Ovis aries: one gene and its partners. The protein of the gene in region 3 purifies or fractionates together with the protein of the main gene of each other region. This does not show direct contact. Links are inferred from orthologs where the notes say so. Each region holds a gene or a part of one and is shown on either strand. Other genes may lie near its edges.

Region 1 (4,294 bases), on a different chromosome or scaffold from region 3:
TCCCCGAGCAGGTTTCCTGCAGGCCTCGCTTTCCTCACCCACGACAGGGAGAGCTGAAGATAAGGCTGCCAGCCTTGCTCAGCAAGGCCCTGCAGCGATGGGGAAGATGCAAGCTCACAGAACCGTCTGTCAGCCGCTCCTGTGGTCAGGACGGCGAGCAGGAGAGGGGGAGGGCGCCCCACTCGCCACTCCACTTGCGGCCACACTTTGTCACTCAAGACGAATGAAGGCAAAGAAAGTCCTTCTTTTGGAAAGAACAAAAAACACAGAAAACATGAAATCTCTATTCCAAACAGCCTGGTGACAGCGGATGGTACAAATCAACAAAAATATCAAGAAACAGTGAACACACACACTCTCCCTCAATTCTTCCAGGCTGCAGCCTGGCCAACTGCAGCCCCAGCGCTGAGCACGTAAAAGGCGCCAGCAGGAGCCAGGCCCCTCACCTGCCTCTGGCCAGCTCTCCTCAGAGGCACCAGGTGGACCAGGGCAGGCGGTCTGGGGTCTGCACCGCTCACGTCCCCTGTGGCTGTGAGGTCCGGGCCTCGGCAGCCCCCTACCTCACAGCAGATGCTCAATAAACTCGGGGGATGGACAAGGGGACACCCCGGCGCTCCCAGCTCGTGTCCCAGGACACCCACCCTGGAAATATGTTCTCAGGATCAGAACGTGACGACTGAGATTATTCCGCCTTCTTTTTAAGGAGCAGGGGGTTCATAGTGAAGGAGATGTGAAAGAATTCATGATTCACCAAATCCAACACGCAGTCCACCAGGTTTAAAAAGACACACAGACACAGATAAGCAAACTCCATCCTAACCTCTCTCTTGAGAGCTCAAGTCACTTTAGGACTGCCTACTTTATAGCCAGGCGGCAGCGAGGGCTCCTTCCCTCCGCAGGGACCACAGAGGCAGCAACTCCAAGACGGTCCCTTTTAAAGCTGTCTTCCTCCAGCACGGGCACCAGCCACTGAGCACGAGAAAGTCACTGCTCTGCTGACCTTGCCCAGATGGCCACCTGGGTGCATAGCCTTGACAAGGGCCTCAAGAACAGCTGTGGTAAATTTCTGGTTGTCCACAATGATAACCATGAAGTCCACAAGGCACAGACCTTGGGCAGTTAGAGAAAACAGCCAGCCGGTCAGCTTCCAGGGACAGAGCAGCAGACAGGAGCACAGAATGATGACAGAAGAACACGATCCGCCGCCTCCTCGGCAACCGCGCTCACCAGGCTGGTCCCCCTGACTCGGAGGCCTGCGAATCCAACTCAGCCATTCGTCTGCTCTTCTGAAACCAACCTGCAGGAGGCCCAGTGGCCTCCAACACCGTCTCTCCTGATAAAGGCAGAAAGCAAGCACCCACCGTTCAAAATAACACCGCTGCCTGCCCTCCAGTCTCGGTGCCTGCGAGCGACAAAGGCCTCCCACCAGGGCTTCCACCTACGCCACCAACGCCAGGCGCCACACACCGAGCTCGGCCACCTCAGCGCGCCCCGCCACAGTGTGGTCCTTGTCACCCGGCTCCCACGTTACAGATGACTGTTTAAAGGCGGGTCTGGAGAAGAAGCGACCACCTAGAGTCACACAGCTATTGAGCAGCAAGGCTGGGATGGGAGTTCCGCCTCTGCAAGAAACCAGGTGAGCTGCCTCGCCCCACAGCACCATGCCCTCCTGGTCCCTGCGCTCTGGCTCCAGATCCTCCCCGGCAGTCAGCACCTGTCTTTGGCCTTCTGACTCCTCCCTCACGCTGTCTGGTCTCCCCCTTCACTAGACTGCAGCCGACCTGCCAGCAGGGAAGGGTCTCATTGGTCTCATGCTGACTGTCCTGCCAGCACCCTCCACTGCCTACGCCAGCAACAGCCTGATCAGACAGTGACATGAAACGTACACGGGACCTTTCACCTCCCTTCCAGGTCTTCGGTGTCCAGACAAGCCTTCTACCTACCCCAGCCAGGCAAGCGCTCCCTCACTCCCACCCCAAGGCCCTAGAGTAACTACCCAGACTCCAGAGGAGCGCTGTGCACGTTAGAGCCAGACTAACGAAGGACCGCCCAACTGGGTGAGAAGTGCCTGCCCTTCTCCATCCTCAAAAAGTTAAAAGAAAAAAAAAAAAAAAAAAAAGAACAGAAAGGAAGGAAGAAAAAAGGACCGAAGCAGGTAGAATAACTTGTGGAGGACGACGTGACGTCCCGCACGTTGATCTAACCTCCAGCAAGCCCAACACACGCCGAGGGAGGGAGAGCCCGGCCCGGGCCCGGTGCTGATGCTTCCTTCCTACCCCGCCCTGCGGCGGCCGCCCGCGGAAGCGCCGAGCGCACCCTGCCCGCCGACCTCGCCCGGCGGACGCTGGCAGAGTTGGGTTGTTTTGCTCTTTTTCCCTCCTTTTAAAGGGACTGTCCTCTGCCGGCATCAATGTTATTTCTTGCAGAAGCAAGTTCCCCGCGCTGACCGGCGAGCAGCCCGGGTCCGACCTCTCCCGCCGCCCGACAACCAGCGGCGAGGTGTGGCCACCGGCCCCGGTCCGGCTCCCGGGACGCGGCGCTCCGCGCGAGCGCTCGGCCGCAGGCCGGCCGCGGGCCCGCTCCCGGCCCGGCCCCGAACCCGTTCCCGGGAGCCCCGGCCCCGGCCCGACCCGGGGTCGCCCCTCGCCCGCCCGGTAGGATGTCCTTGACCGGTGCCGCCCGCGGCGCGCCCTGCGGCCCGGCCCGCCCGCCCCGCCGCCGGACTCACCCCATGAGCCAGTCCATGGCTGCGCGGGGCCCGCCGCGCCCGCCGCCCGACTCACTCGGCCCTCAGCCCGCGGCGGCGGCGGCCGGAAGTAAACACTCTCTTACTCACTCCCACACGCGCGCCGCGGGCGCTGCCGGAAGTGACGCTAGCGCGACGCCTGCTGGGAAAGGTAGTCCCGGCTGCTACTGCGGCCCCCGCCCCCCGCCGCCGCGTCCCCAGGAGCAGGCGCGGGAATTTTCCCTTACGCCCTGGGATGTCCCTTCACACCCCGCCTGTCCCCTCACACCTCGGATGTCCCCTCACACCCTGGATGTCCCCTCCCACACTCCCGGATGTCCCCTCACACCTCGGATGTCTCCTCATACCCTGGATGTCCCCTCACACCCTGGATGTCCCCTCATACGTGCTGTCCCCTCACACTCCCGGATGTCCCCTCACACCCCGGATGTCCCCTCACACCCTGGATGTCCCCTCACACTCACTGTCCCGTCACACCCCAGATGTCCCCTCCCACACTCCCGGATGTCCCCTCAGATCCCCGGATGTCCCCTCATATCCCCGGATGCCCCCTCACACTCGCTGTCTCGTCACACCCCGGGTGTCCCCTCACACACTCCCGGATGTCCCTCACACACCCGAATGCGCCCTCACACCCGCTGTCCCCTCACACCTGCTGTCCCCTCACAACCCGGATGTCCCCTCACACCCGCAGATGTCCCCTCAAACACCCGAATGTCCCCTCACACCCCCGGATGTCCCCTCACACCCGCAGATGTCCCCTCAGACACCCGAATGTGCCCTCACACCCGCTGTCCCCTCACACCGGCTGTCCCCTCACACCCCGGATGTCCCCTCACACTCACTGTCCCGTCACACCCCGGATGTCCCCTCACACCCCGGATGTCCCCTCAGATCCCCGGATGTCCCCTCACACCCCGGATGTCCCCTCACACCCTGGATGCCCCCTCACACTCACTGTCTCGTCACACCCCGGGTGTCCCCTCACACACTCCCGGATGTCCCTCACACACCCGAATGCGCCCTCACACCCGCTGTCCCCTCACACCTGCTGTCCCCTCACACCGGCTGTCCCCTACACCCCCAGATGTCCCCTCACACCCCTGGATGTCCCCTCACACCCCGGATGTCCCCTCACACCCCGGATGTCCCCTACACCTCCCGGATGTCCCTCACACCCCCGGCTGTCCCCTCACACCCCCGGATGTCCCCTACACCTCCCGGATGTCCCCTCACACCCCGGATGTCCCCTCACACCCCCGGATGTCCCCTCACACCCCGGATGTCCCCTCACACCCCCGGCTGTCCCCTCACACCCCCGGATGTCCCCTCACACCCCTGGCTGTCCCCTACACCTCCCGGATGTCCCCTCACACCCCCGGATGTCCCCTCCCACACTCCCGGATGTCCCCTCACACCCCCGGATGTCCCCTCACACCCCTGGATGTCCCCTCACACCCCCGGATGTCCCCTCACACCCCCGGATGTCCCCTACACCTCCCGGATGTCCCCTCACACCCCCGGATGTCCCCTCACACCCGCAGATGT
Region 2 (3,943 bases), on a different chromosome or scaffold from region 3:
GGTCGGGGAACTATTAATAGATTCCACATGCTGCAACTAAAGATCCAGCACACTATAACTAAGACCCTGTGCGGTCAAATTAATTAAAAAAAAAAAAAAAAAAAAACCCTCACTGGATCACAGCAAGTCAGTGATATGCAGAAGGAGCAGGATATGAACCCAGTCGGGCAGGCCTGCGCTCACAAGGGTACCAGGCTACCTTTTGGCTAATCCCCTCTTCCACTCTTGGTATTGCTTACTCTTTCCTCCCAGGCGCCGAGCCAAGTTCTTTCAAGATCTAATCTCATTTCATTTTCACGACAGTCTCATGGAGGCGGAGGGCTCGCTCCCCCAAAGCAGTGATGGTCCTGTGGCAGGGCTGGAGCCCAGGCTGCCAGTCACTGGCAGCTGAACCTCGTGCTGGAGACACCAGGCTCCCTGCCTCCACTCATCTCCACGACAGCCCTGGGTCCTCAGCGGTTGGACAGGGAAAGGTTTTGCGCCAGGAGGGAGTAGGGCGTGGTGAGAGGAGGATGCTGTATGAGAGCGGGCATGGCCTCCCAAACCAGCAGGACCAAACCTGGTGATAGAGATCAACTTCGTGACAAGAATAGGTGTTCCCGAGAATGAGCTTTAAAGCTTTGCGGAGAGCTTCAATATTTCATCATAAAATGTCACATATGGCAAGAGAGAAATACTAGAACTTTCTTTTTCCACTCCAGTGGCTTTCCCACCAGGTACACTAGCCAGGTGAAAGGGTTAGTCGCTTAATCGTATCCGACTCTTTGCAACCCCATGGACTGTAGTCCACCAGGCTTCTCTGTCCATGGGATTCTCCCTCCAGGCAAGAATACTGGAGTGGTCACTATTCCCTACTCCAGGAGATATTCCCCACCCAGGGATTGAAGCTGGGTCTCCTGCACCGCAGGCAGATTCTTTACCATCTGAGCCACCAGGGAAGCCCTAGCCAGGAGGCTGCTGCTTTAAGTAATGGGTTGGACCCAGAACTGGGACTAGATGTAGGCACGGATACTGTGTCTCAGCAGGATGAGGAAGGGCGCTTCTAGGTGTTTCTGGATAAACAACTGCAAGCTGATACATGGGAAGACAGAATGAGGTTTTCCTAACTGGAAAGTTCTAGAAGGTATATTCCATAAGTGTGAGAGCAAAGCAGCCCCTGGAATGTGGGTGTAGGAGCTCTGAGTTGGTGGAGCAAGAAGTTAGCACACAAGGTCTCAGGAGAGCCATTCTGTTGGTCTGTGAGCACAGCTGAGCGGCTGCGGGGGTGGGGGGGGGGGTTGCAGGTTGTCGAAAGAACATACAGACTTGGGATTCTGGGGGTCTGTATTTGGGGGAAAATAGATAAAAGAAGGGGCGGTGAATCTGGAATCAGGATGGGTGGGTTCCTTGTAACAGCAGGGTCATTGTGGATGTCTGAGAATAGCACACCAAGTTTGGGTCAGAAGGGAGATGGGATGGATTTGGGTCCTGGACTTGGGTTTGAATGTGGCATTCTGAAGCTGGCAAAGGTTCCCACTGGAAGTCTGTCTTGGGGGTGGGCGGGGACTGGGTGTGAGGTACCAAGGAGGGGCAGGGGTTCTGGCTGGGCAGGAAGCCACGTGGGTAGGGTTTCCTGATGTAATGGGAAATTGGGTCTAACAGTACCAGAGGCTAAAGAAGAGCCTCCGGAATTGGAGGCTCCATCAGGGTGGAGGTGGTGGTTCATTCTGAACAGGACCCAAGTTTCAAAATTCCAGGCCTAGATGAGACTGAGGGCCTTGGGGGGAGGGGGTACCAATCTTTGTTCTAGGGGAGGGGTCCTGGGTGTGGGTTGGAGTCCCAAGCCAGGAACAGAAATCTCAGGGGAAGACAGAATTATTTTATTCAGAGGAGTAAGACTTCTGGATCTGAACCATAAGGATCCAGAAAAGCAGGTCGCAGAACAGACTTAAACTATTGGGAACTCTAGGGTTTTGGAGGACTTCCAGACGGGGCCAGTGGTAAAGAGCCTGCCTGCCAATGCAGGAGACATAAAAGATCCCTGGATCGAGAAGATCCCATGGAAAAGGAAATGCCAACCGACTCCAGTATTCTTGCCTGGAGAATCGCACGGACAGAGAAGCCTGGCGGGCTACAGTCCATGGGGTCACAGAGTTGGACACGACTGAAGCGACTGAGCACAGGGGTTAGGAGGAGCCATGGAACAGCCAAGATCTTAACTGGGTACCCGACTAGGTTCAGGATCCAGATTCTGAGGTAGAAATCTGGGTGTAAATGGAAGATCCCAAGCAGGATTGGGAGGCACGTCAAAAGCTTGTCTTGGCAGTCTAAATTCTAAAAATATACCGTACAGGTCAACCTGGCGTTTCAAGAAGAAACTGGAAGCGCGGGGCGGTGGGGGTGGGGGGGGGGGGGCGGCGCCGGCATCGCGGGCAAGGAACTCAGGGGTCCCGGCAATTCTATGGCCCCGGAATTGAATCGAAGAACCCTAGGCTATTCGGAAAGTCCAGGCTGTAGGGGGCAATCCCAGGTATCAATGGCTGGGGCCCCCCGGCAGTATCAGGGGGTCAGAACTCTGAAGCGGAGTCCCGGGAGTGGGGGAAGGGGCTGGGCGCGCGAGCTCTACCTGGTGCCGCCAGCGGAAGAGGCTAGCGGTGTCGATGTTGGGGTGCGTCTCGTCTTCATCATCAGACACCTCGATGTGGTCCCACACGCTGTAGTCCACCATCTTGCCTCGGGGCCCAGCCCTCCAGGGTTCTGGTAGCGGTGGCGGCGACGGCGGCGGCGGCAGCGGCAGCACTGAGACACAGCCCGCGGAGCCCCGCCCCTTCCGCTTCCGCCCTGACGCTTACACCCCTCCCTCGCGTGACGTCACATCCTTAGTAACCTCAGCAGCGGCACTGGCGACCAAGTTCTTAAAGAGCCCTGCGCACGTGTTCCGGCTCTCGGGAGTCCGCTGAGACCTCACCCCATCCGGCTTCCGGCCTCCACTAGGCCCTTCCTGGGGAATTACGGGTGGGTTCTCCAACCTCGAGCCCCCCTCATCTCCCGCTACCCCACGGTGGGCGTTTACGGCAGCCTTGGGAGAGGGGGCAGTTGGCGAGACTGAAAAAGAGGATTGTCCTCTTAGCCACGCCACAGTGACGTCAGCCTGAGCCCACTACTGGGGCTCGGCCTCGGCGAAAAGACCTCGCTCCCGTCTTTTGTGAAGAGGGACTTAACTTTGTCCTGGAGATGGTGCCTGATGGGAAAGGACCTTCCCAGTACAAGGGGTACAAGGCCCTGCTCTAGGAGGGTCTAAGTGAAGGAAGGTTGTGGCCCTGCCCTCGAGGAGTCGAGATGGGGGCGATGTGGCCCTGCCTTGAGACCTGGTGTTTCCCTGGCTCGGACCACAGCTTCCCCTCTTGCCTCCCCCATCTTCTGCCACTCCTTAGCGGGGATTCGCGCATACACGCCCCCTCTGGAATCACCCGACCGCACTTAACGGGCCTCATTAGCTTGTCTACGGCGGCTCCCCATGCATCCGCTGGGTGTCGCTAGTGTCTAACTAGCGGCCAGTGCGGGTGCCCCGCGCCAGGTGGGGGAGGGGTGGAAGAGCTTGGAAGTGCGCACGCAGGGGGTCTTTCTCCGTCGAGGTACTCTGGGACTCCTCGCAGTCCCTCCCTCTTTCGTCTGGGATCCCCTTCCTCGTTCCAGACTCTAAGAACTCTATTACACTGAGCTTGGGCGACCGCAGCCACACATTTTCATGTATCCCTACCCACGCTTTGATACCGGGATAAAAGGCTGCGTTGCAGCCTAGGGCCAGGATTATCTCAGATTAAAGGGCGCAGGGCGGGGGACAGGGAGAATGGGTAGAGATTCAGCCACTTGAGTGAAGGGCGCCTCTTCCAGACTCCCCCCAACCAAGCAGGCGTTTGGGGGGGCGCTGGAGAGGAAGGAGTAAAGGTCTTTAAATGGGTGG
Region 3 (4,241 bases):
TTCAGCGCTCAGCCTTCTTCACAGTCCAACTTTCACATCCATACATGACCACAGGAAAAACCATAGCCTTGACTAGATGGACCTTAGTCGGCAAAGTAATGTCTCTGCTTTTGAATATGTTCTCAGTCCTACTCACCTGAATTAATACGTGTGTGGTGGAGGGAGAGAGGTGTATAGCCCTCTGTCAAGCATGTTTGATCACAATTAAACTTCTAATGCTTGCATATGGCAACTGTCATTTGAGCCTCAAAATCACCATGATATAGAAGGAACTGATTTCTCCAAGAACACACCAGATCACATAGTGCTTTTTCCAACAATCAAGCTATGTATGAGAGAGAAGAGAGTGTAAAAAAGAGAGAGAAGTGATGTTAAGATTCTTTCCTAAGTCTTTCCTATGTGTCACCTGCTCCGGGCAAAACTAAAGATAATGGTTGTCATCTCTGAATTACATTTTCTGCAAGCACAGCGCTAGCTTTGTATATTGTCTTAACAGTCTAAAGTAAATCTTATTTTATAAAATCTCCAATATTCAGATAGAAGGTAATTTGTTAACGATAACTGGGGACAATTTTCTTATTTGATTTGCTAAATAAAAACTCAAATGCATCACCTTCCCAAAGCCATCCTTTCTGAGTCATAGTACAGGTGATTTTCCTCATAGTTCTCTGATCATAAACAAGCAGCAGCCCAGTACCATCAGTTATTTTAGATTTTCCAAGATGATGCAAGCAAATTTTTCATGAATGCTGCAGTTCTGGTTTGTTTGTTTGGTTGGTTGGTTTTTTGTAGCTTTTCCAAATGTGAATTCCTCTCAAGTCTCTACAATCGAGTCATGATGGGAAAGGAAAAGAGTCAAGGAACACTGAGTTACTAACTAGTTAGGCAACACGACCAGCCAATCCATTTTTGTTGACCACATCTTCCTACTCTGCAAAAGGTTCCAGAAAAATAATAGAAATGATCTCTAAGCTCCCTATTATCTTTAACACTCACTTTGCACTGTGAAGCATCAAGAAAAACTCTGGCGACCTGTAGGACACGTGACTAATGTGGCAACACCCTGGGTCCCTCAAGAGTGGCCTGAACTAGCTTTCAGCAAAGAAGAGGGAGATGAGGTGAGGCTGATGAGGAAGGAAGGCGGTCACTCTTGGAACAACTCTTTCAGGGCCAGTCAGGAATTTACCGGGCGCAGGTGGGTGGGGCGTGTGTCTGCCGGGGTGCCTGCGTTGACGACAGAAGGCTACTTCCGGCTGTGGTGCGTATGACGTCGGGGACCGGCCGAGCCTCCTAGAAGCGGAGGAGGAAGGGCTCGCGAGAGTTCAGGGAGGCCGCCCCGAGATTCCGGCGCCGCGGCGGCGGGTCCCACCTCCCGGGGGCGGGGCGAGGGCGGAGCGGGCAGAGGGAGCAGACGGTCGCCGGGCCGGCTGCGGTCCGTGCGGAGGCTGAGCCGGCCGCGGGCGCGACCGGAGGCAGGTGAGTGCGCTGATGCGGCGCTTCTTCGCGGAGGAGGCTAGGGGTACGGCTTGCCTCTCCGGCCCCAACTCTGAGAGCCGGATCAGGAGAAGATCTTATGTGTCTTAGGGTGTCCAGGGAAAGCCGGGCTGATTTCGAGGCTGGAAATATCTCCGGTGAAGCTCCGGTGACGGCCTTGGCCCTCTTGTTCCTTGGGGTGATAGTGGCCCCGGGTGTCCGGAGAGGTGGCCGGTGGCCCGGGGAGGAGTCTTTGTCCTTCCAGGCTCCTTTGGCCTCTCCCCTCCGCGGTCCCGGAGCCCCGGGCTCTCTGTCCCTGCTTGGGCTTCATAAACAATAACAAATGTCGTGAGGACCTTCCCCTGTATCCCCTGCTCTCCTGTCCCGTGCCCTCCAGCCGATGCCAGCGAGGGGAAGGATTCTGGGCATGGCTCTTAGATTGTGGGGGCTGTTTGTGTACCATTCCTAAAAACTGATGCGTCAGATTCCTAAACATTTCTCAAATAGACACAGTAAAAGCCGTGCTGCTCTCAGAAGCCAAGGAGTGTTTAAAGCCGGTCTCTCAAAATCGGACCCTACCGGTGGAATCCTAGACCCTTCTTTTCACCATCATTTTCTCCCACTCCCTTTTTTTCACCTTTACTACGAGGGGACGAACGAGTGGTTGTTTGGTATGGGTAAAAATAGGGAAGGTTGTGTCCGATGGAGGAAGGAAACATTTCACCCTTAAAAGTTGCCAGGTAGAGAGCAAAAGAACTAACTTTATTTTCAAAATCGGTGGCCTCCCGCTTACTGATACTACTTTTGTTTTATGAGACCGCTTTTCGAATTGTGGATTTGGAGGAAAGACTTAAAAAGAAATGGGGAGGGGGACGGGGAGAGCTGGTGGTGCAGGGAGTAGTGGCTGGTCCAGAAAGTATGATGCTGGTGTTCCTCACTTGATAAAATGCAGAGCCAACGCTCCTGTCTATTTCACGCAACTTGCGATAAGTTTTGATAGAAGCCAATTGCTTGGAAAAGGTGACCTGAGTATTAGCTTTAATACTACTAAAATCTGAGGAAACAGCTTTAAGTGTTTCAGTTATGCCTCCTAGCTGTAAGCTGGGAGTGAGACTTGGTCTTTCAGGGGCTGTGAGTGGGGGACGGGGTTAGGCCTTAATACTTGCCAGGTCTCCTTACTTTAAGGCAGGGTTTATTGTTGTTTAAGCCCAGTGTTGCTTACTGAAGGCAGGTTTTTGAAAGTTCTTTGTCTAGGTCATAAATGTATGTAAGGTACTGGAAGCCTCTTTGTGTTTGGTTTTTCTTTGTATGCCTCAGGATATATAAAACAATTAAGTTTATTATACTGTCTATCCAGTAGCTGAGAGGTATTGTATGTGAACTGACCATTCTTGTGACTATGTGAGGGGAGAGAAATTCCTTCAAAATAGGATGTTAAATTATGATGACATTTGTTCATTGCATAGAATCGTCAAAGTACCTTTCTGTAAAAGATTCTGATCTCAGAGGAAGTACAATGGATAAAAAAAAATTTTTTTTCTGTTTGTTTAATCTGGCTTAGCGTTTATGGTGTTCTCCTTGTTAAGATGGCTAATAACATTCCCCGTTTACTTGGGATATGTTTAGAGTGAGAAACAAATTGGGTGTTGTCTTTGTAATCCTTTGGAAGCCCCTGCCCCTGGGAATGAAAAAAAAATTAGACTTAGAAAAACCACATTAAATGAGTGCAATTCTTCTTTAGCCTTTTTGAGTTTCATTTTAAATAAATCATAGAGTGGAGACCAGAAATATTTGTGCAAATAAGGTGTCCTCAACAGTTTTTATGCTTAAAAAATTAATTTCTAAAGGTAACACGCTATGAAAACAAAGGAAGAATCGTAGTTTGTAGAAAGGGATAATAAAGCAGCAGCCTCAGTTCAGCCATTTGTTCTCAGGAAAGTTCTGTCCTCTCAAAGTTAGGGCTGCAGCATCATGTTAGCAAAGTTGGATAACACTTTAGATAGTGTTTTCCCACTGATCTGGGATCAGTTGGAGGCTCTTTTGCATGTGTGTGCACTTTTTTGAGGGATGGAAAAGGGCACAAATCAAAGCCAGAAAGTTTTGCATCTCAATGTAATGTGAAAATGATTTTATTTTACATAAACAATGGAGGATGAATCAGGCAAGCATATTGTCATCTAGCAACCCCAAGATTATGTTAAAATTAGCAGATGGGTAAGTTATGATTAGGTTGACTTGACATATGTGGAAATTATGCTACTGTATTTTAATATTAAAAACACCATAGACTTTTTGAATGAAATAATGAGAGAGCTTTTAAAGCATAAGAAATTTTAAGAATTAATTTAAAAAGATAACCTTGGTCAGTAGTTAAAAGATATTAAGTGAATCCTTCTTCCCCACCTCCCAAATTTTTGTTTAAGTCTTTAAGAGAGTGTTGACCTAGGTATGTCCGGTACTGATGTGTGCTAATTACATAAAGCTCCTTTCTCCAGGTAAATGTTTTATAATTGATTGACACAGTATTATTATTCAGAACCTTTAGAGAGAGGAAACTGAAGGGCAACAGTGAGTAGTATTTGCTGCCCTGTGCACTCAGATGAACTGTGGGCTTTTTCTTCAGCCTGATGGGAAGAAGATATTCCCAAATAACTGTAATACACAATCCATTTTGTGGGGAAGCCAAGGAGGAAGGGGTTAAATTTTACTAGACCAATTAAAGAAGGCTTTCATCAGGGAAAGGCATTTGTGTAGATGATTGAGATGAT

What was found.
Region 1: the proteins of STK38L (region 3) and MOB2 purify together in Homo sapiens (affinity purification with mass spectrometry; 9 studies listed by BioGRID and IntAct, counting the BioPlex papers as one, with this or other methods). This does not show direct contact. The link is inferred for Ovis aries from reciprocal best matches to the Homo sapiens genes STK38L and MOB2.
Region 2: the proteins of STK38L (region 3) and CDC37 purify together in Homo sapiens (affinity purification with mass spectrometry; 3 studies listed by BioGRID and IntAct, with this or other methods). This does not show direct contact. The link is inferred for Ovis aries from reciprocal best matches to the Homo sapiens genes STK38L and CDC37.

What each region holds. Positions count from the first base shown.
Region 1 is NC_056074.1:46,387,446-46,391,739, reverse strand, and holds the start of MOB2 (MOB kinase activator 2), read right to left. Parts: upstream 2,803-4,294; 5' UTR 2,746-2,802; coding exon of another isoform or gene 2,729-2,745; intron 2,300-2,728; exon of another isoform or gene 1-2,299. UniProt on the Homo sapiens protein: Stimulates the autophosphorylation and kinase activity of STK38 and STK38L.
Region 2 is NC_056058.1:12,789,709-12,793,651, forward strand, and holds the start of CDC37 (hsp90 co-chaperone Cdc37), read right to left. Parts: upstream 2,803-3,943; 5' UTR 2,708-2,802; coding exon 2,606-2,707; intron 1-2,605. UniProt on the Homo sapiens protein: Co-chaperone that binds to numerous kinases and promotes their interaction with the Hsp90 complex, resulting in stabilization and promotion of their activity. Inhibits HSP90AA1 ATPase activity.
Region 3 is NC_056056.1:188,234,215-188,238,455, reverse strand, and holds the start of STK38L (serine/threonine-protein kinase 38-like), read left to right. Parts: upstream 1-1,440; 5' UTR 1,441-1,476; intron 1,477-4,241. UniProt on the Homo sapiens protein: Involved in the regulation of structural processes in differentiating and mature neuronal cells.